5 linked regions of the Bombyx mori genome follow. The protein of the gene in region 3 purifies or fractionates together with the protein of the main gene of each other region. This does not show direct contact. Links are inferred from orthologs where the notes say so. Each region holds a gene or a part of one and is shown on either strand. Other genes may lie near its edges. The genes, in order: THO complex subunit 2, regulator of nonsense transcripts 1, nuclear cap-binding protein subunit 1, exportin-1 and ALY.

Evidence for each region.
Region 1: the proteins of nuclear cap-binding protein subunit 1 (region 3) and THO complex subunit 2 purify together in Homo sapiens (affinity purification with western blotting; 3 studies listed by BioGRID and IntAct, with this or other methods). This does not show direct contact. The link is inferred for Bombyx mori from reciprocal best matches to the Homo sapiens genes NCBP1 and THOC2.
Region 2: the proteins of nuclear cap-binding protein subunit 1 (region 3) and regulator of nonsense transcripts 1 purify together in Homo sapiens (co-immunoprecipitation; 3 studies listed by BioGRID and IntAct, with this or other methods). This does not show direct contact. The link is inferred for Bombyx mori from reciprocal best matches to the Homo sapiens genes NCBP1 and UPF1.
Region 4: the proteins of nuclear cap-binding protein subunit 1 (region 3) and exportin-1 purify together in Homo sapiens (affinity purification with western blotting; 3 studies listed by BioGRID and IntAct, with this or other methods). This does not show direct contact. The link is inferred for Bombyx mori from reciprocal best matches to the Homo sapiens genes NCBP1 and XPO1.
Region 5: the proteins of nuclear cap-binding protein subunit 1 (region 3) and ALY purify together in Homo sapiens (affinity purification with western blotting; 6 studies listed by BioGRID and IntAct, with this or other methods). This does not show direct contact. The link is inferred for Bombyx mori from reciprocal best matches to the Homo sapiens genes NCBP1 and ALYREF.

What each region holds. Positions count from the first base shown.
Region 1 is NC_085119.1:9,001,392-9,005,368, reverse strand, and holds part of THO complex subunit 2, read right to left. Parts: intron 3,755-3,977; coding exon 3,498-3,754; intron 3,413-3,497; coding exon 3,263-3,412; intron 2,969-3,262; coding exon 2,799-2,968; intron 2,337-2,798; coding exon 2,171-2,336; intron 1,228-2,170; coding exon 1,058-1,227; intron 977-1,057; coding exon 778-976; intron 692-777; coding exon 456-691; intron 27-455; coding exon 1-26. UniProt on the Homo sapiens protein: Component of the THO subcomplex of the TREX complex which is thought to couple mRNA transcription, processing and nuclear export, and which specifically associates with spliced mRNA and not with unspliced pre-mRNA.
Region 2 is NC_085127.1:8,613,578-8,618,035, forward strand, and holds the start of regulator of nonsense transcripts 1, read left to right. Parts: upstream 1-1,602; 5' UTR 1,603-1,904; coding exon 1,905-2,084; intron 2,085-2,162; coding exon 2,163-2,350; intron 2,351-3,104; coding exon 3,105-3,305; intron 3,306-3,628; coding exon 3,629-3,699; intron 3,700-4,267; coding exon 4,268-4,335; intron 4,336-4,458. UniProt on the Homo sapiens protein: RNA-dependent helicase required for nonsense-mediated decay (NMD) of aberrant mRNAs containing premature stop codons and modulates the expression level of normal mRNAs.
Region 3 is NC_085127.1:11,168,834-11,172,810, forward strand, and holds part of nuclear cap-binding protein subunit 1, read left to right. Parts: intron 1-2,314; coding exon 2,315-2,565; intron 2,566-3,146; coding exon 3,147-3,390; intron 3,391-3,728; coding exon 3,729-3,841; intron 3,842-3,977. UniProt on the Homo sapiens protein: Component of the cap-binding complex (CBC), which binds cotranscriptionally to the 5'-cap of pre-mRNAs and is involved in various processes such as pre-mRNA splicing, translation regulation, nonsense-mediated mRNA decay, RNA-mediated gene silencing (RNAi) by microRNAs (miRNAs) and mRNA export.
Region 4 is NC_085118.1:10,175,275-10,179,916, reverse strand, and holds the start of exportin-1, read right to left. Parts: upstream 2,894-4,642; 5' UTR 2,734-2,893; intron 2,407-2,733; 5' UTR 2,311-2,406; coding exon 1-2,310. UniProt on the Homo sapiens protein: Mediates the nuclear export of cellular proteins (cargos) bearing a leucine-rich nuclear export signal (NES) and of RNAs.
Region 5 is NC_085114.1:10,511,984-10,516,687, reverse strand, and holds ALY, read left to right. Parts: upstream 1-1,715; 5' UTR 1,716-1,772; coding exon 1,773-1,976; intron 1,977-2,626; coding exon 2,627-2,843; intron 2,844-2,921; coding exon 2,922-3,116; intron 3,117-3,748; coding exon 3,749-3,897; 3' UTR 3,898-4,001; downstream 4,002-4,704. Other genes in the region: replication factor C (activator 1) 5, read right to left, coding at 155-282, 624-688, 777-811. UniProt on the Homo sapiens protein: Functions as an mRNA export adapter; component of the transcription/export (TREX) complex which is thought to couple mRNA transcription, processing and nuclear export, and specifically associates with spliced mRNA and not with unspliced pre-mRNA.

The sequences.
Region 1 (3,977 bases), on a different chromosome or scaffold from region 3:
TTTCTTTTAATACTATCAGGTCTTGACTGAAAATATATGATTTTTATTACATTGCGAATCTTCGTTGTTCATACTGTTACGCCGGTAAGAGCATCGCCATCTATCGTCGAATAGCAGAAACGAATATTAAAAGAACTTATAAAATCGAGAACGCTCAAGAAGTACAACGCTATCTATAGTCAAATAGCACATATTATAGCACATATTGAAACTACTCGACTTGTCAGGTATGTTCTCGATAACAAAATTCTAGGGATGTGGTATCTACTATAAAAGCATTGCAGAGATGACCCAGAATTAATTAGTAACCGAATCTACTCGAAGCGAAACGGCGAACGGATTACCTGAAGTGTAAGTGTTTTAAGTGTTAAATAGAATTTGAATTTGTACTTCGGTGGAAGTTTTATTTATTCCGAACACCAGCGCCTAACAATACTTTGTAACCGAATGCATACCTCTGTTGAGCTTTGAGTCGATTAGCAACAAACTGCAAAAGAGCAGTTAACTCAATATTGTGTTTCTTGAAGGCTGCCCCGGCGAACGAGGCTAGTGCTTGTAGCCACGCAGGTGGCGTCGAACGTCGAGAGCCTAAAGCCTCAACTAAACAGTATCCCAGAACATCTAAAGATAGAGACGTCAAATATTTCATGGATTCTACTACTGGTCCTATCAGATTGTCGTATGTTTGTATCTGGAACAGAAATTATTGTTTTATAGCACATTCATAAAACATTAAAGGAAGAAGTAAAACTGTTTTATGGACTGAATGCCAATTACCTGCAAGAGCACGTAATCAAACAGAAAGGCCGGGGCGGCGTGCGACAGTTTCCCGATGAGACGACCTTGGGGCTTGATATTCTCTTTGGATACTCGTTTCATTATGTGTTTTATTTTCTGCAATGAGTTCCCCCGGACACGAATGAGAGCAGGTATTCGTTCGCCAGCCTCATTTTTCCAACGCGCATAGAGACAGTATCTTAAATAAGTTTGCAAAATAAAATAAACATCAAGATTTATGTAATTTAGCATATTTTATTAGTTATTAATTATTCTTTACCTGCACTGATATGGATATAACTTAAGTAATGTGTACACCTCTTCAGCCATACAACAATTCCCTTCCATCAGTGTAAGAGCCGGTAATATTGCGGTATCCAAAACGGTTAGTGCCTCAAAATGTAACGGATCATCTTTTTGACCGCGAGCAGTTCTAAGTATTCTAATGACCTAATAAAAAAATCAAAATTGAGTGGGTGAGCGTAAACTCAATAAATGGTGATGAATCTCCTTTTAGAATTTTCAAATGGTGCAATTAAAACCTATCAGATGCTAAATGGATAATCCTTTCCTTACTTAGTTTCCCAATGATAATCTATTTGTTGTGTGACTTTTTAAAGTGATAATTTGTTCTCAGACGGCTACCGCGCATTGTCGTGCATTTATACACTATGATTTGTACACGATCGCACTCGCCTTCCGACAGTGTTATTATAACTATTTAACGCATATTAACGCATTGTCTCTTATTAGATAGCTTATTCCAAGCTTCAACCCAATTTGCTTTTATTTGTCTCCAGACAGTGGTTATGTAGGTAAAGGATATAGATTTTATGGAGTCGGATTAAAAAGTATATTACTTTGTCTATTGGCGCCTACAAACAAACCAATAAGATCCTTAAAACTGATGGAAATTAGACACCTATAGATATCAATTGTTGAAAGAATTTTACTATCATTAACACTAAATTTCAAACAAATTGAACATAGACGAATTCATAGTTAAAATAACTTGAACTTAATAAATATAGATTAAGAAAATAAGACAAAAAAATAGTACGACAATCTCTCTTCATTTATTTACATCAACAATGATAAGTAATGAGTTTCTCATCGGATCTTCTCAGTGGTTCGTGATTCCTATCGGTGTTATATTTGACAAAGCACTGCTTCTGCTAGGATTAGCGTTAGAAAATTCTTTCACAATGTACATGAACACTGTGAGGGAGCTCACTAACCAAGGTGAAGCCAGAATAGCCCCTCGAGAGTACTGGCAGATGAAAAAGAAGTCCTTCCATATAGTCGGATCCCATATCGATTAATTTCTTAAAATAATTTTACAAATTATTTCTGAAGTCTGCCTATAAGGGCAATAAAATAAAATAAAACTTACTTTGTACATCAAGACAGGGTCATGATGAAGGGCTGGACCAAGCAATATAAGGGCTGGTATAACTGTTTCTTTCATGTCTTCGAATGTTTTACAATTAGGTGGTGCTAAATTTGATTTAAGTGGAGGTACTGGTTTTCCGAGTATTTTTGAAGCTACTCGGCATTGCCTAAAAATTTAATTATTTATTGAAAGAAATAATTGTAAATTTTTTTAGAAAACTCTCTTATAAAATATAGAAAAGATTCATGGTAAAGCTGTACATTATATTCATTGTAGTAATCTCTAATAAATCATTCATTACTAAAATAACAGTTTATTACATTGAATTTATACATATTTTTTTTTATTGCTTAGATGGTTGGACGAGCTCACAGCCCACCTGGTGTTAAGTGGTTACTGGAGCCCATAGACATCCACAACGTAAATGCGCCACCCACCTTGAGATATAAGTTCTAAGGTCTCAGTATAGTTACAACGGCTGCCCCACCCTTCAAACCGAAACGCATTACTGCTTCACGGCAGAAATAGGCAGGGCGGTGGTACCCACCCGCGCGGTCTCACAAGAAGTCCTACCACCAGTAAATACATCCTTTAAGACAACCTTATTGAATTCAAAGGTAAGACTTACTTTCGATACAATGGTTCTACAACAGCATGCAGCAACCCACAAAGGGCTATTGCTGGTCTTGGCGGCATCGTAGTAGTGGGAAGACGCGCAAACAGTGAGGCAAACTCTCGCCACGCATTGACTCTCAATAAAGTTTCACATAACACTAGCTTTTGATTGCTCCAATATTCCTAAATAAATAAATAAACTATTCAAGCATTCCACATTCAAAAGCCTAATAGATACTGTGCTTGAGGTTCCAGAAAAATACAACACAAGAATATAACAATGAACAGACAAAAATGGGAATCGAGCCTGGATCCCAGTGTTAAGTAATTAGGAATAAAGAATCCATCAAAATTACTAAAATTTATGAAACATTGAATTGTTTGCCTTTTGGCCATTTTTCAAATATCTAAAATATCACATATTCATATTAATTACTAGTTAACTACTACGTTACTACACAATATTTTACTAGTTACCTGCGGATCAGCTTTATCTTCTATAAATTCAGTGGGGGCATTTGTTTGTGGTCCTTTGGTAGACACAATGTTAATTTTTCTTATATATTCTTGAACTGCTTTTATTTCTTTATCAGCTTGTTTAGCTATTATCACATCATCTGGGCGAAGCTACCAACAAAATAGTAAGAAACATTTTTCATTAATATTGCTAACATACTTTAATTTTATATATTCATAGAATTATTGTACTCACCCATGGATAGATGTCATCTAATGATATAACCTGATGTTGTAAAAGCAATGCAATTACAGTCATCAACGGTGGAGGTTCTGTATAGTTATCAAGAATTTCCATATTACTCAGTTTGAAACCTAAAACCTCAGAAATTACATGAGGATCTGCCATGTAACTCTTAATAAGCGGTATAAAAAGAGCATCTAATTGTGGTCGGGCTTCAAACGATTCTAGAATTATGTCAAGTACCCTGTTTGGATCCAAATTAAAACAACCTGAAATAAATTGTGTTTAAAAATGAAATAAACATGTTATTCATTACATTTGATTTAGATTTGTTATCATAGCCCCACTGGCTGGCACTGTTACTCAAACCAATAGACACCACAATATGAATTGTGCTGCTGCCCATCTCAATAAATCAGATTAAAGCATTACTACTCAAACACATTAACGGCTTCAGGGCAGAAATAAGCGGGATTAATTAATATTTATTAC
Region 2 (4,458 bases), about 2.6 Mb from region 3:
CCTTATGGTAAAGACGGTATTGCGTAACACGGTGCTCTGACAGCTATCCTGCAGAAGGAGAAATGTATTTTTAAAGGAAATGTGTGAGGAAGAAGGTAAATGTCAGCGGCATGATCTAACACTACGATCGCATGGTCAATATTGGACGTATGCCAATTGTGTAGTGTCAACTTATTACGAAGGAATATTTGTCTCCGATTGAAGATCATCGGGTAGTCGGCCGACGAAAAGCTCGACGCGATCGCAGTCAAATAAAGTAGAAACAAGCAGGTCATTGATTTATTCAGGATAGCTAAAACTTCCTCGCTCAGGATATTATTGGTCGAAGTGGGTGGTCGCGCAGGTGATATTCCTAAAACATACTAGATTACTACATATTCTTAGTATAAAGTCAAGTCATAGCTCCAAGTTTGAAAATTAAATAAGGAATTTCTCGAAAACATCTCGCGAAAAAAAAAAAAAATTTAAAACGATACTAAATATTCTGCATTCGTGGCGCGACATTGATACACAGTTAAAGCGCCATCTATCAAGCTATGAAGTTATCTCCTCGTCCCGTTGTTAAGATGGTTGAATAAATAATTTTGTTAATCTTAATAACAAATTTATAGTACAAATATTTAAATACATCTTTTGATGATCATTCACATGAAGGTCTAGACTAATTCAACACACTACGGTACTTTTGACTTTTGGCGGGAATGTGAGGATATGTAATGTTTGATTTGAATCGTCTACTTGACAAGCAAAGGGAGCATAGCCTATACAGCAAAGCTTTTGACTGAACTAAATCTGTTGTTTAAAAAATGAAATGAAATTGATTACGGAATGGAATTAAATAGGGTAAATGAATCAACCTCAAATTCACCACACACCTCAACACACCACACACCTCATCAACACATCACAACACTTCAAATCTTAGATGAGATTAAATACAGTAGCCTCTCAGTAAAATGGTGGGAATTTATTGTGAATTCACTTGTCTTTTTGAATGAAAATGAAAACTAAAACGATATTGTTTAATTTTCCGACATAGATCCTAAGAAACTCATAAACTAAAAAAATTTAATGAAAAAATACTAAATTTACTATATCAACGGTGCCCAAACTGGTGTACGCCGGATATGAGGTTTCAATTGTGTGATACAACGACTATCCCACTCCGATTCATCATGAATTCCAAACACTTGATTGTTTCATAAGATATCTAGTTTCCATTATTGTAATCTATGTATTGACGAATATTTGGAAATTTTAATTTTTTTACCCGAAAAAATTTTTAAAGGCATTCATTTAATAACGCTGTCATTATGAACACATGAATAACTAGCTAAAATTCTTACTTTTCGCAGCATTTGAACCCAGCTGGCAACGCTCTCGCAACAACAATCTTGCCCGTTAGTCCAGGTCCATTCGCGTCATTTAGATTATTTTGTAGTGAGAAAATCGGTACAGTGAAGAGAAAAAAGTATATTTAAGTTTATCCGGTCATATTTCTCAATTAAGTAGTACTTGTGACCTGGCCTCTATTGCCCAGTGTTGCGTCTTGTGGCAATAGTAAGTGACAGCTTTGAGTTGTAAATATATTTTATCTGTACTTAAATTTTCTCACTTGGAATAGTTTGTTTTTCTGTACTTTAATTGGTTAAAAAACAGACAGCTAAACTGCACTCAAAGATTTGATTGGTACAAAACTTTGAAATTATTAATTGACAAATAGAATAACAGACAATTTATATAAAACTTTATACGGAAACAAACCATGTGTTAACATGTCGAATTTTCGTCACGATTTGTGTGTCGTTTGAATAACTGCGTGACTGCTATGGAAATATCAGCCAATAGTCGTTCTATATATTTTCTTTTGGATTAATTTTGTTTGTTTAAATTCGTCATTAAAAATGAGTGTTGAAGCATTCGACCCAAGCTCGCAATCGCTCACGTTTCTGGAAACAGAGGAAGGGGACTTTATTGGAGCAGACACTCAAGGCTCTGAGTTTGAGTTCACGGATTTTACATTACCCTCTCAGAGCCAGACACAGGCTTCACAACATGACCATGGGTTGTCTTCATCCAACCAGGTATGTAGAACACCACCGAAGACACATCACTTCAACTCACAGAAAGATCAGTAACTATTGACATTTATCACGTTGTAGGTTAACGGAATAGGACGTATAGAATTGTCGTCTAAAATCTCTAACGTGACTAATACGATACCGGAGCTGCAATTCGAAGAGGAAGATGAGGCTTTGTACAGCAACAAGGAACTTCCAGATCATGCTTGTAAATACTGTGGCATACACGACCCGGCCACAGTCGTTATGTGTAACATATGCAACAAGTGGTAAGTAGTATCATAATCCCAAAAATGTAGTATTTATAGACGTTTTTTTACAATATACATGAAACTGACCTCTGCTTCCTAACTATTTTAAGTATTGGTTTATTTTATCAACATGGGTTGTTACATCTTTCATGATTATCTGTCTAATGAAATTAGAATGTTAGGAAAGTAATAGCAACTCAAATAGAACTGTGGCCTCTCAAAACAGGCATGTCTTTTGTGTCTCTCAAAACAGACATGGTTCTGTTATCCATGGGCCCTGGAAACAACTTAAAATTAGTTAGATCTTTGTAACTTTACACAGTTATTGGAATGTAGATTGCAGATTAATAAGTTGCCTTTGTTACAATGAATTTGCTTTAGATTCTGTTCCTACATCTTCTTTGAGCATGCCCTACATTGGTAATTATCAACTGAGTAGAGGAATAAATCAGGGGAAAAATTTACTGGATTCAAGTAGTAATGTTATAACTCATTGAAAATGACCTACTTGAATTACAAAATTTAGATATTGAAGTATATAATACAGCTATGCTACATCATAGATCGGATACACTTTAGAGATAGATAAAACAAAACACTTGCATACTACTGAGCAATTGGAAATATAAAGATTATAAAGAATTAGTACTTTATGACTTAAAAATTAAGAAAATTTTAATAAAATTAAATGTCTGAAAGAAATTGCAGTGAAGATTATGTTATACACAATTTATTGAATATACTCTGATTCCTTAAGAATAATATTTTCCAGGTTCTGTAATGGCCGCGGTAACACTTCAGGCTCTCATATCATCAACCATTTAGTACGTGCAAAGCACAAGGAAGCTGCATTGCACCGTGACGGGCCACTTGGCGAAACCCTTCTGGAATGTTACTCATGTGGTGCTCGGAATGTATTCGTACTCGGCTTTATACCAGCTAAAGCTGATTCTGTTGTTGTGCTACTTTGCCGGTATGATATTTTTTTTAAACTTAATAATCACTCATTAATATGTAATATGCTATTATCTCAGTCATAAAATCTGTGACTCACTCCAACATAAACGATTGCTCTCACTCTGTGAAACACTGCGCCACATGGTGTCGCATCGCGAGAGCATCGGTATTGCAGGATCCGACTGATCCACTGACCACGACCACTCTGTCAAGAGTGTACAAATAAGAAGAATTATCTCAGTGCTCAGAGAAAAAAAAACTATAAAACAATTGAAACCAAGATAAATTAGATAATTATCGACTGCCCGCTACATTTAATATCAAGAATTGAATTTTCAGACAACCTTGTGCAGCTCAAAGCTCTTTGAAGGATATGAACTGGGATCAGGAACAGTGGAAACCTCTGATATGTATGTTTATATCTTTTAAAACATAAAAAATCAAATGATTTGTAGTACTGATAAGCTTACATTTATTTATGTGTTTATACATAACAAGTTTTATATCTAAACCTGATAAATAGTGATCATGAACATAGCATCCTGAAGTTGACCTGGAAAGACTTGTAAATGATGATGTAGATTTATATATAAAATATATTACAGCCCACATGATGTTAGTAGTTACAACAGTATCAATATTGACACTACTTACCTTGAGATATGAAGTCGAAAACTCCATTTCAAAGTCTAAAAATGATCTCAGATAAGAAATTACTCTAACCAGTATTCTTATCCCACAATTCAAGTCATTATGCATTATTGTCATTATACCACATCATCACGAGCTGTCTTTTAATCATACTCTTAAGACTTAACAAATAGATGAATAGAAAGACTTTCAATGTAAAATTTCTTTATGTAACTTCATCTTGACCAATTTTAAAACCTATTAAGAACATAAAATGTTTTAGTATATGACATAAAAATAGATAGATAGCTTTTAAATATTAACCGACAATATTCATTATAATTACAGCTGATCGTGCCTTCCTGTCTTGGTTGGTGAAAGTGCCATCAGAAACAGAACAAATGCGAGCTAGACAAGTAAATTTTTATATACAAATTAGACATTTATAGAAATATTAATTAATTTACTTATTTATACCTTTTTATAAACAAAACAATACATATAATAATATGATGTATAATAAAATATAGTTTTATACA
Region 3 (3,977 bases):
TCGCGAGTTGTGGACATTATGAAAATTTTAAGCGGTCCTGGCCTAATTAATAATACGTTCAGTGTTATTAAAATGTTGTTGTTCGCAACTTGTATATATGTAGGTAAGCTTATCTTGAAAATGCCGTAAGCGAGATTCAGGCATCTGTCAAATATCTTGTGTAGTATGATAGCTACTCGCCACATATTAATATCGAGCTAATCATCACACGGTCTATTTCTGAATTCGATGTGTTTAAAAAAAAGGCGGGGTTTTGTGAAGTTTATGGGCTCCGGCAATCGCATTGCTGAACCCATAAGCTCGTTCAACTACGTAGTGCAATAAATTTTTTATTTAAAAATCATAATGATGATTCAATTTTCACAAACATGAAAACTTTAGAAGATCGATCGAAATTTTAAAATGTATATGTTACGCTAAAAATAGATATTGCGGCAAATGTACACATTTTCCGGTAAATGTCCACATTTGCAGCAATATGCAAATGTACATATATCTACATTATATTCAGTTCACATATACCTAACTTTTTGGCAAATGTGCACATTTACCGGTAAAAGTGTACATTTTCCAAGAGTGTACGTTTACCGCAAAATATATATTTTTTACGAGATTAAAGCTTAAAAGTATTTTACAACTACTGAGTTATGCTGTTTTTAGTTTAATTGAATCGTGTGCAATTTTGAAATTCATTATTTAATTTACGATTCTGTTTGGACGGTATGTTGTCGTATAAAGAAAGTATACATTGTAATAAGCACGCGTTTGCCGGTGAAATTTCTAGCTCGTCGCGTGCGCACTTTCCATCTCTTGGATTTTTCTCCGCTTTATATTCGTAATTTTCGCGGCAGTAGAATCTTGAGAATCGAAAATAGTAAGTAGGAGTATAAATTTTATGCATATATGCCCCAATGAATTGCTAATTCGCGTTTAATATCCTAATTTTTTTTTTAAATTATTTACATAAATATTCTTGTGTAAATTTGAATATTGTTTTATCTACAAAAAGTAAATATGTAGTTTGTTTGCGTTATTACAAAAATCGTTGTAAAAAAGAGCTTAATGTATATTTTAGATTCGATATAATATATTATAACCGATTTTAATTTCGCTTTCGTTTAGTAGTTATTCCTATCAAAGCTTTAAAAAATATATCATCAATAGAAAAGAGAAAATGTAATTAATAAAACAATTTATCGTGATGTGTCACTGTTTATTGAATGTCGACACTATTCGATTATTTTTCTTTCTTGGAATTCATTACCACCATATAAAATGTATATTTGTAATAAGTTCATATTATTTTTGTACCCGCAATGTAAAATGAAGGTAGTTGATGGGCGCCCATCTGATTCCCTCAATACAGAGGATCAAACATGCGGCCGCCCATTTTAGATTAGGTTTCATTGCGTGTTATTGTCACCAGATTGTGTTCTGGCTTCATTTATATTTTACCAAATCTAAAACAAAAGATAGATGTAACGCGTAAGCTTGCTTACTGGAACGAGTTAATTTTATTTTAATTTACTGTAAACCATGGAAGCTTCAATTTTATGTCTCAAGTTGTCTCCGTCTATCACCAAAGGCTATGTTATTCGTCTCCTTAAGCGCCTCCTACTTGAACGAGTTAATTATTTTAATTTACTGTAAACCATTGAGGCTTCAACTTTGACTTAAGTTGTTTCTGTCTATCACCAAACGCTAGGTTATTCACCTCGTTAACTACCTTTTCTTTTTTTTATTGCTTAGATGGGTGGACGAGCTCACAGCCCACCTGGTCTTAAGTGGTTACTGGAGCCCATAGACATCTACAACGTAAATGCGCCACCCACCTTGAGATATAAGTTCTAAGGGTCTCAGTATAGGTACCTCCATCTGTCTAGTGCAATATGAATACCGTGATGGTCTATTCGAAAACAAACCGTATTAAAAATACGAAAGATAAGAAAGAAACATATTAAAGATAAGAAAGAAAGATTTATATCGAAGTTTTAGTGAATGAACGAAATATTCTCATGATCGTTACCATTGCTTCGGAACGGAGGTGTGGTAATTTTACGCAACCGCTCAGTCGTGGTATTGTTCGCTATGGTCTCTAGCTATCACGTTGTTACCATCTACATTAATTGTTGATGGATCATCTGCAGTAGTTTAAACACGTATGTGAAATATGGTTAGTTGAAGAACTATACAAGAATTTCTCGTTTAAAGATATAAGATAAGATATAATCCTGTCGGTACTTTCTAGTATCTAAGTATAAGAAGTATGTGCTTAGTTTTTTTTTTAAATTTAGGAATGTTTTTTTTTAAACAGCTGCTCTACCCGGCACCGAAGCCGCCCATCAGCTCGTTGTATTCGTGCGTAACAAGTGCACACCCGAAGAAGCCTTGAACGTTCTCCGCGACCTACCGAACCCCCTCAAGGAGGGCGAACAAACGGCCAACCAGCCGACCGCGTACAACCCCCTGAAAATCGACGTCTTCGTGCAGACCCTGCTGAATCTCGGCAGCAAGAGCATTTCGCACAGTTTCGCTGCGATCTCGAAGTTTCATTACGTTTTTAAGGTTAGTTCGCGTTAAACAGAAAAAAAACACTATCCGAGAATTACATCCGTATTACAGTTACACATTTCGGAAAATAAAGACGTTCCTTTACCAATAGTATATCCCAATATGATCCAAATTATGAAGTGATAATTGTATAAAAGTTGACTACACGGAACCTTCTTCTTCATCGTTCGCTCACGGCTGAGGATCGCGACCACATGTGACTTTCGTCCATAGTGTTCGGTCACCGGTGGCATGGATATAACTTACGAAAACTGAATCGAACTGGTGGTATATTACTAGTGGAATATTACTCGTGGTAGGACCTCTTGTGAGTCGCACGGGTAGGTACCATCACCCCGCCTATTTCTGCCGTGAAGCAGTAATGTGTTACGGTTTGAAGGGTGGGGCAACCACTGTAAAAACGGAGGCTTTAGAACTAATGTCTTAAGGCGGGTGGCGGCATTTACATTGTAGATGTCTACGGGCTCCAGTAACCACTTAACATCAGGTGGGCTGAGAGCTCGTCCACCCATCTAAGCAAAAAAAATTAAAAAAATTGAACTCGTGATTTTGAAAACGTTTATTAAATTTTACAGATCTTAGCCGAGTCTGAGGAGGCGCAGATATGCATCCTCCGCAACGTGTGGGAGCTGTGGCAGCGACACCCGCAGATGGTCTGCGTGCTCATCGACAAGATGCTCAAGACTCAGATCGTCGAGTGCAGCGCCGTCGCCACGTGGCTCTTCTCGAAGGAGATGGCGCCCTACTTCACGCACGGCTGCCTCTGGGAGATGCTGCATCTGACCATCGACAAAATGAACAAGCACGTGTCGAAGCTCAGTAAGTTGCTTGTGTTTTACAAATCAAAATCTATGACGGTAGATGCAAGCAGAGGTTTAAAGTCGTCGTGGCCAAAGGATAAGACGTCCAGTGCACTCGTGTTGAGCGATGGCAACGGTGTTCGAATCCCGCAGGCGGGTACCAATTTTTCTAATGAAATACGTACTCAACAAATGCTCGCGATTGACTTCCACGGTGAAAGGAACATCGTGTAATAAAAATCATACCCGCAAAATTATAATTTGCGTAATTACTGGTCCGCACGGGTAGGTACCACCATCCTGCCTATTTCTGCCGTGAAGCAAAAAAAAAATTACAACATCCAATTTGTTTAACAGGTGCAGAACTCCAGGAAGCCCGCGAAGCATTAGCGAGAGCGGACTCGAGCAGTTCGGATTCTGAAGATGAGAACAGTAAGAAGAAGAAAGACCAGGACAAGCCTACTGAAGAGGTATAACTTTTCTTTTTGGGATATTATGACCTAGTAACTAAGACCTTTAAGTCATATCTTATTTTAATTTATATTCTTATTTTTATGAATATTGAAAATAAGGAGTGAAATGAGATGATATGGGATGAAATATAAT
Region 4 (4,642 bases), on a different chromosome or scaffold from region 3:
ATCGAGAAGAGGTGGAATAAAGTTTTCCAAAACCATACTGTTATCAATCGAGCGTGTAACCCAACTTGAAATAAGGTTCAAAGTTTCCTTTTTTATTATTCTCATATTCTTAATGAGAGGTTGTTTAGTAACTGCTACGCCATTTAAAGCTATGGCTTGACTTATATTTTCAGACATTACTTTGTAAACATTAAGCATGTCAAGGTATATCCTTCCTAATTGCACAACATATGGGTGTGCTAGTGCACGACATGCACGCACATTTGTTTTCAGTATACTTACAAGTTGTTTAACAGCTTCAGGGTCTTTCAAGATTTCAACATTACGAGAAGCTTGAGATATAATATCATCCCAAACTTGATTAGGCAGAAGCATGTATTTTTCAATTAAAAGTTCTTGGGCTACTTGATCTACTTGGGCACTGATCATGTATCCAACAGCTTCATAAAAAGTGTGAACTTGCAATGTTTGTAAATCACAAATTATAGTACTAATGGTGCCCAATATTTCTTCAATAAAAGGACAGGCTTCTCCAACTTGAGTAGTGACAAAATGTCGACGGCATTTTATAGCAATTTTTATGAATGTATCACACGCCATGTCTTGGACACCATCATGTGTTTCATGCATGAATTCAAAAAGTTTATTGACAACGGTTTTTAAAAATTTCCAATGTGCACGAAGAAAGCGTGGGTATTGTCCTACGACATACATTATGTTACTAGCAATTATAGCTTTGTTATCTTTTCCCTTTTTCTGTTCACAGAGACCTAGAAGCTCTTTAATCACAATAACCAAAAATCTCTTTTCATCATCCTCAGATAGAGCTCCAGAAATAGATCCAATTGCCCAACATAATGTGTTCAAGTTCTTCCATGACCACTCAGTACCATTTACTTGATTTTGTAATTTCTCTGTCATAATACGTTCAGTATCTAAATAGTCTAAATGTGTCAAGTAAACTAATGTTTCTCTCATATTTTTATACAAATTAATGGAGTCTGTGTCCTTCATAAATTCTCTCACAACTTCACCATTTTCATTTTCAACAACTAACACCTCTTCTGGTTTTGCCATTCTCGAGATCATAATATACCGAACACTGCTCAAGACATCAGCATACAAAGCTTTTCGGCCTCCACTTTTACCCAAATGGTACAAGTTTGACGAACATGGCGCAATTTTGTACAAATCAGCAGCAAGAGCATTCCAATATTCAAGACAAATTTTGAAAATTTCTACATCTTCTACCTCTGATATTAAGACAAGATACCTCAAACCATTCATTAAAGTGTTTGTTAATCCACTCTTTTCTATGAGCGGACCATGCTCTTTTAGATATGTGCATAAGAAAAGTGCAAGATTTTGAATAAAAACTTGTTCCTGATCTCGACCAGCTACATATGCTTCACGTATGTTTGTAGTTAGAGGAAGCATAACTTCAAGTTGTTCCATAGTTTGTACAAACAAATAAACAAACTGCTGATCATAATTGCTGACTGTGACACCGGCAATTTCAGTAAGACAGCTCAATGTTACATTCCTAAACATCGGCACGTTCAGAAACTTAAATATCAATGTGCTTATCAATTTCATTTCGAAAATATAACCAAGTGGAATCCAATTTAAAAATCTCAAAAGAGTGTCTAAGGTCACTCCAACTAAAGGTGCATTTTGTGAATTTTCCAAGACAAATTGGCATAGCTGAAAGATTTGACTGAATTCTGAACACATTGTATCTTTTAGATGCTTAGCTTTTGTTTGTGTGAGCTGGCCTGTACTAAACATAAATACTTCTTCACTCAACAACTTGAATATTTCCATATTGTTTTGACAGAGACTTTCATTCGTCTTTGAGGCACCCACAATGTCACTGATAAAAGTTTCCCAATTATGGGGCCATTCTCTTTTCAGAACTTGAATAAGGATCATGTTTAGTTTTTTCAAATAAACTTTGTTGCTTTCCATCGTAACAGGATCTGATGAATTTTTAATGATAAGGCCAACTATATATTTTTTTATACCCTCACACTGATTTCTTGGTAATATTTTCCATCTCGTTAGTATTACTTGTTCTAATATTTGTAATGCATAATATTTAGTTTCTTGATTTTGAGAATATTCAAGTATTGTATCAACACGAGTCCAAGCATCAGGATGTTCCTTCAAAGCAGTCAGTATATCCTGAGCAACACGTTGTTGATCCCCAACAGCAGAATATAAACAGCCAACAATGTTGTCCAATAAATTGATGTCCAATTTTTGATTGAAATCCAAAAGTTTAGATGCCTGTTGTTCTAAGGTTGCCATTCTGGTAAAATATATTTATTTAGTTAATTTGTTCCCTTTTTTCCAAAATCAAAATTATTTTGATTAATCCACATTCATTCCTCACCTTATACAACACTGAAAATGAAACAAAACTCTGTGTTAACAGACTCTACTGACTCTAACCTCCATATCCTAATTGTTTGTTTGTTTAACAAACACCGACTTAACAATTATGCTAGTAAAAACTACTTTTAATACTATAATTCGGTTAAGCATTTAACTACAAACTGGGCAATTACATCATTAATTGTTTAAAACCACTAAATAGAGCACACACCCCGCAATCTTGTTGCAGATTTTACTACAAGTACATTCATTACACTAATCACAAAACGTGTACTAAGTGTAGGGATACTCGTTAGAATTGTAATTTTTCAATAACTTAAAAAGTGAATCACTTACCCGAGAAAATAATTTGCGGCGCAATCAATCTAACGCACTACCATACATACTAATCCGTTGTTTTCATGAAGCTTGAAAAAGCTTACACATTTAGTCTATGGTCATAGAAAATACTAGTGCGGAACTCCTGTTGAACGTTGCATTGCATTGACTACAGTTTACTCAATGTGATTTCTTTTAAAATTTAGTGGAGAAATCTTCTGCAAATTTAAAATTAAAAGCTAATTAATAAGAAAAACTTATTCACTTCATTCTATTGCTAATTTGGGTTCAAAAACAGAAATATGGACTTTTTAAGTTAAGTGAAGTTAAGTTGTAAGTCAAGTTAAGTCAGTGTAGCTTCCCATCTCATTTGTTCAAGTCCGTTAAGTTTCAGCAAATTTACACCAACCAACACCAACTACAATTACATTTAACCACAAGTTATTGAGATATTACTTCTTTTTATCTCACTTGCTAGGCTGTATGCTAATATTTTTTATATAATTTTTATGTTGCCATTGTAAGTTGTGAAAAATAAACTATTTTTTTTAGTTTTTGGTATCTATGGTATTTTTTATCTATGGTATTTTGTGATTAAAGGCTTATTACACTTGGCTGAATTTAGTCGACTGACTTCAGAAGCAAATTTAGAAGCTTCTGATTAAACTGTTTTAAATTCAGTTACTGAATCAATTGTCAGTTTAAGCGCGACGAAGTAAGACGTGTCGTGTGCGTAAGAGGATGGCCCCAGTATTGTCTAGACAACAACAAATTTTTTGTTTTTATTTTTTATTTCAATTTCTCAAAAAAAAAACAAGAATATCGGTAAAGAAATATTTATTGCTGTGCGGAATGTTAGCAAATATGAACATTAGAGTGATTTAGAACCAGCAGACTTCAGAAATTATCTATAAATGGATTCGATCTCGTTTGACCTAATATTAAAACTTGTGACACCGTTTATTCAAAAGCAGGATATTATCCTACGATAGTCTATTATATATCTATTTTATAACTATTACATATCTAATCCTACGATATTATAAGTCCAAAAGAAAGATTGGTTGTAACATGAAGATTTCTTGCAACAGGAAATACGTATCAAGATTTAAAATTTAGTTTTTCAATATCCCAACCCTTTATGACAAAAACTATTCCTGAAACATGTCGGGCTATTTATAAATGTCTGGCACATTAAATAAAGGCGACCGAAATCAATACTTTTTATTCGGAAGCAAAAAACAAACTAAAACGTTCTTACGCACGGAGAGCTATGGGACGACTGAAACCATTAAGTAACTAAATGCGATTACACCTTCCTAGATGCATTTCTAATTAGGCTTCTAAATGATTTAGTCAGTCAGAAACCATCCTTGCTACTGAATTCAGTAGCGACTGAATTATTTTTGTAATTTTTAAGTACCCAACCTTTACATGACCGTTCGAAAGATTAATTTATAATAAAACTCATAGAAGATAGTAAATACCATCACTCAACTTGCTAGGGCCAGTGTTGGCAACACTACCGGTTTGAGCCTCGTGAGCTAAACTACAAGGAGAAGCTGAAATAGCCTCTCAAGGATATCAGCATAGGTAGAAAACAAAAACACGCAAGCTAATTTGAAAATCAAACTGTTATATTACATATGATCCTGTTTAGCATTTATTCCTATTATAAGTATATTCTACAATCAAATTAGAATGTAAAATGAAAAAACAATGATATCAGTACCTAGTTGGAGATGTTCATGGACAAATTGAGAGACCTTAGCAGAACTAATGACGAACATGTGCTACGCAGATGACACAACACTACTTGCCACAACAGAAGCAGAGATGACAGAGCTTTTGAACAGGCTGGAGCACATAGGGTTGGAGATGGGACTTGCCATCAACAGATTCAAAACTAAAATCATGGTCGTTGATC
Region 5 (4,704 bases), on a different chromosome or scaffold from region 3:
TATATTTTATAAGGAATTATATTGCTTATTGAATTATATTGCTACTTAGATGCAATCTAAGTAACTTAATTACGATATTTATGACCAACTATTTAAAAATGCTAATCAGATTCTTAATTTTGCTGTTAATTAACTGGTCTAAAAATTTACATACCATCGAACTAAATTGCTGTGGAGTGTACATTTGTTTGGCACAGGCTAGAATGGTAGATGTCTTCCCGGTTCCAGGAGGACCGTAGAATAGTAGATGTGGGAGCTGATTCTCTTTCATAAATTGATTTACTGTAATGACAATATTCTAATCTCAGTAAATACATATATTACTGTACTAGGGCTAGTACCTAATCTCACAAAAATAGGGATGTAGTGGTTGGAAGGCTGCTGCCTCAATTAAGATGTAAACAAAGTACTCTAGAAGAACAAAAAGAAAAATCCTTTACTTTATGTTACAATGTACAAAACATACTGGTACGAAGAGGGGGTTTATGCATTAACTGTTATAAGGTATTCGTATTACGGTTAGCAACTTAATATCAACCTGATTCAAGTCCAATTTTTATAGCCTTAAATTTGATAGTCTCTTTAAAATAATGTGATCATTAGTTTCAGAAATTTATACTTACTTGTTTTTATTATATCATCATGAGATACTAAATCATCCAATCTTTTTGGGCGATATTTTTCAACCCTGCGTAAAAACAAAGTGTTAATCGTCGTAGTAAAATATATTGAGTTATGATTTTTTTGTTTAAATCATTGTTAATGATAGTTCATACCATGGCAAATTTTGGCCTGTTTCCCCAACAGTCATATTGTTTTTATAACAGTATTTTTAAATCGCTTCTAGTATGTAAGTACAGATACTTTAATAAAAACGATTTATTTAAATTGTGGATTGGTTTACAAGCTTGAGGAAACTATAAAATTCAAAATTCGAACCATAGATAGTAGTAGCAGTTTTATTCATAGATTATACACTTAATATATTATTGGAAAGGCAAAGGTATCATACCATAAAGCGTAATCTTTTATATATTTTTTATATGTAAAATGATTTATGAAATGAAATGAAGTTGATTAATATGAAACATAACATGAAATGAAATGAAATGAAAATGAAATGGAATGAAATGAAATGAGATGAGATGATATGGGATGAAATATAATCTCAGTAAAATGGTAGTCATTTACTGAGACTTTTTCAGTGGACTTTTTAGAGGATCCCAAAAAGTTATGCTCAGCGGCTTTGTTTCAATTTTCCCACATTTGTGCACTTTCACAGATATTAAACAGGTTATAAACCACCGTTATTACACATTTAAACTTGGAGAAACACTAAATAGACAAAATAAAACAAAACACACAACTTCACTCCTCGCGCCAAAAATCTCGAACCATAAATAATACACTTCTTAATATTTGAATTTTGAGTGCATTAGCATTACGTGATTTGATTACCTAGTTAAAGATTAAAACTAAGCGCTTAATTTTTTAAACAGAAAGATTTGACCAAATCAACTGGTAAATGTAAAATAAAATAAACTAAGACAGATGTGTAAGATAGTCTTTATTGACTATAATTTCTACCAAATTTAAAGCTCAACAATTTTTTTCAATCTACTGTTGAACTAATATTAGCAATCTGGCAATAACGAATCTTTTCTTCGGCCATTTTGTCACCGTCTACTTGGGAAGGAAGAGTTCTAAAAGGATTGTTTTTGTTTTTGACTTAATTTTCATAGAAAAAATATTTAGAATTTCAAATAATCACCATGGTTGATCAAATTGAAATGGCACTGGATGATATTATAAAAGCCAACAAAAAGACAAGGATTGGAGGTGGTGCTGGAAGAAAATTTGATGCAAACAAAAGAACAGGACGTGGAGGCGGTGCTGGATTTCGTAGCAACCGCTCTGGTGGTGTACAACGAGGTAGAAATCGTGGAGGCATAACGAAATCTACCAACTATTCGAGGGTAATTCCAATAATTAGATGATTCTAAAATTACAAATGGCGGGCAAATGTGACGCATCAATGTATCTAATTTGTTCTCAAAAAGTCAAGCAACCATATGGACCATCTTGTTGAAATAGTTTTAGACGAAATTTGACACTTTGATTCAAATCAAGACCCTTATTTTATTCGTATCCGACCTATTTTCAACTTGAAACCATAATCCCAGCAACCATATTGTTATCTCCATCAACGTTTTTGTTTTGCATTGTTTACCTACATCTGCCGGAAAATTCTATGATGGATGCTGATATAAAAGTGTAATGAATTCGAGCAAAACGTTACTTTTGTGGAGATGTCTACAGTGCAGTTTTGACCAATTTATAGAATTGACTTCAGGAGTTGAAAAGTAAATAAATGGACTCCATGGACGGCTGAGACTGGTTGTGCTTCATAACTTATTAGTCTTGTGTCTGTGTGATGAAAGTGATAAAACAGTTCTATATTTTAATTTTCGAAAAAAAACATGTAAACTACATCAAATGTTATTTTATCAAGTGGTTCAGATGTCAATGTATTAATTTTAGTGCCTAAGCTTTGAGTTTTTATTATATTCAAAGGAGGCATAGAGAGTAGCCACATGGCTAGCTCTATGAAGGATGACCTTTTCAGGGTGATGTGAACAGCACTTGGAAACATGATATGTTCAATGATTTTGGTGAGAGGAAACTTCAAAGAAACAGTGGGACCATAACAACTGGTCCTACCAAGCTGCTTGTATCCAATTTGGACTTTGGAGTATCAGATTCAGATATAAAGGAACTATTTTCGGAATTTGGCATCCTCAAAAGTGCATCTGTACATTATGATCGGTCAGGTAGATCTTTAGGTATGTATCACAAAGCATAAAAACTTAGTTTGTTCCATTAAGTATTTCATCATACAAGATATTTTTAAATTTTTTTAGGTACTGCAGATGTTGTGTTTGAAAGAAAAGCAGATGCTGTGAAGGCTATGAAACAGTATAACGGAGTGCCACTTGATGGACGGGCAATGAATATACAATTGGCAACATCTGAAATCAATACTTTAAGGCCCGAGGCTAGAAATCGAATTGGTGGTGCGAGTGTGGGAGGTACTATACGAAACAATCCTAAAAGAGGTAAGATATTTTCCAGGATTTGTTTGTATGGGAGGAGTGATAACAAATTACATCATTGTGATTTGTGACAAATCACCATATACAAGATGGCCTCTTAGTCGAATCAATCTGGAAACACCTAGTTATTGTCGGAAAGATACTTCAATAAGGCCATTGGTCATGATAATCGCCATATTGTTGCTGCCGCTGACTATTTCTACCCACAGCAGAGACTAACTGTTGATGTCCTAGACACATAATTACGGATCCATCAGATCCAATAACTCTTGCATTAGACACCTGCTTTAACACTAACCATACTCATTGAACTCTAAAGAGTTTGATGTGCAACCTAATCCATAGACAGACTACTGATCTGGTAGTAGATTCATTTGCAAAGCAGCTGCCCATGAATTGTGTTAGACCTCTTTCGGAGGTGTTCAACTGTTAGCAAACCCTTCTCTTCTGGCTAAGCATTCGTGGTGTAACTGGAAAGGCCTCCGGCCCTAAATCCTTCATTTAAAAAAACATTATTAAAATTAATTACTTTTTTTAAAACTGATATTTTCCCACTAGTTCTTGTTGTACATTTTCACTTTACTGTTTGCAAGTTACAAATTACTAGAAATCCATTAATTATTTTATTTTTGAAGGAGGTGGAGGAATTAGAAATCAAAGCAATAGTGGAGCACGTGGGGGAAACAGAAGAGGACGTGGTGGTGCAGGCAGAGGCAAACGACCAGTACCTACTGCAGAACAATTAGATGCAGAGCTTGATGCATATGTGAAAGAAATCAAGTGAATAACTAATGAGAATGTGCATAGACACTCAGTTTTATCTTAAAATATGAATGAATAAGCTTTGTGTTCTCAATGTTCTAGATTAATTGTAAAAGTATAGGTTATACTAATAAAAGACTACGAATTATAAAGAAATTATAATTCTAGTACATGTATTAAATTGGATAAATAAACCCAGATTTGAAATTTTCTTGTATAGATTTCTTTTTAGTCTGTAGTTGTGTACACAAGTGTAAACATTTTTAAGGAGGTTATCGTAATTCAACTGTATTACAGTGAATGCATCTGCATTCGGCATCTGCCGATTTGGAAACTGCCTAGATCTTAAGCGTATCACTGCTCCACCTCCAAACATCACTACCTGTGTAGGTTAAAAATTATACGTAGCTACTGGTGATGTTATTCGTTCAATGTGGAAGTCTGTCAAAAACAATGAGAAATACTTTTTCAAAAAATTTTCATGGTCATTACACTCAATTTCAGCACATCAACAGTCATATTTAAAGCTACGGCAACATCAAAGTTCATTTATAAAAGGAGTTGTCGTACCCCCTTACAGGGGCACGGAACGGGCCTCGGGCAAACCCCACTGCTTGGACAGAAGCTCCCTGCCACACAGGTCGGGGGTGATGTGGGTGCAGGGTGAGCTTTATAGGGGAGAGAGCTGTTCGCAACGTGCTCGGCTACAAATGACATCGACATATATACATAATACGATGGGCTTGCGCCGGTTGAAGGAGGACGCCCGGCGCCAGGGTCCCTCCGGCGTCGTATTGTCCTCTGCCTTTTTTTTCCTTGCAAACTAACT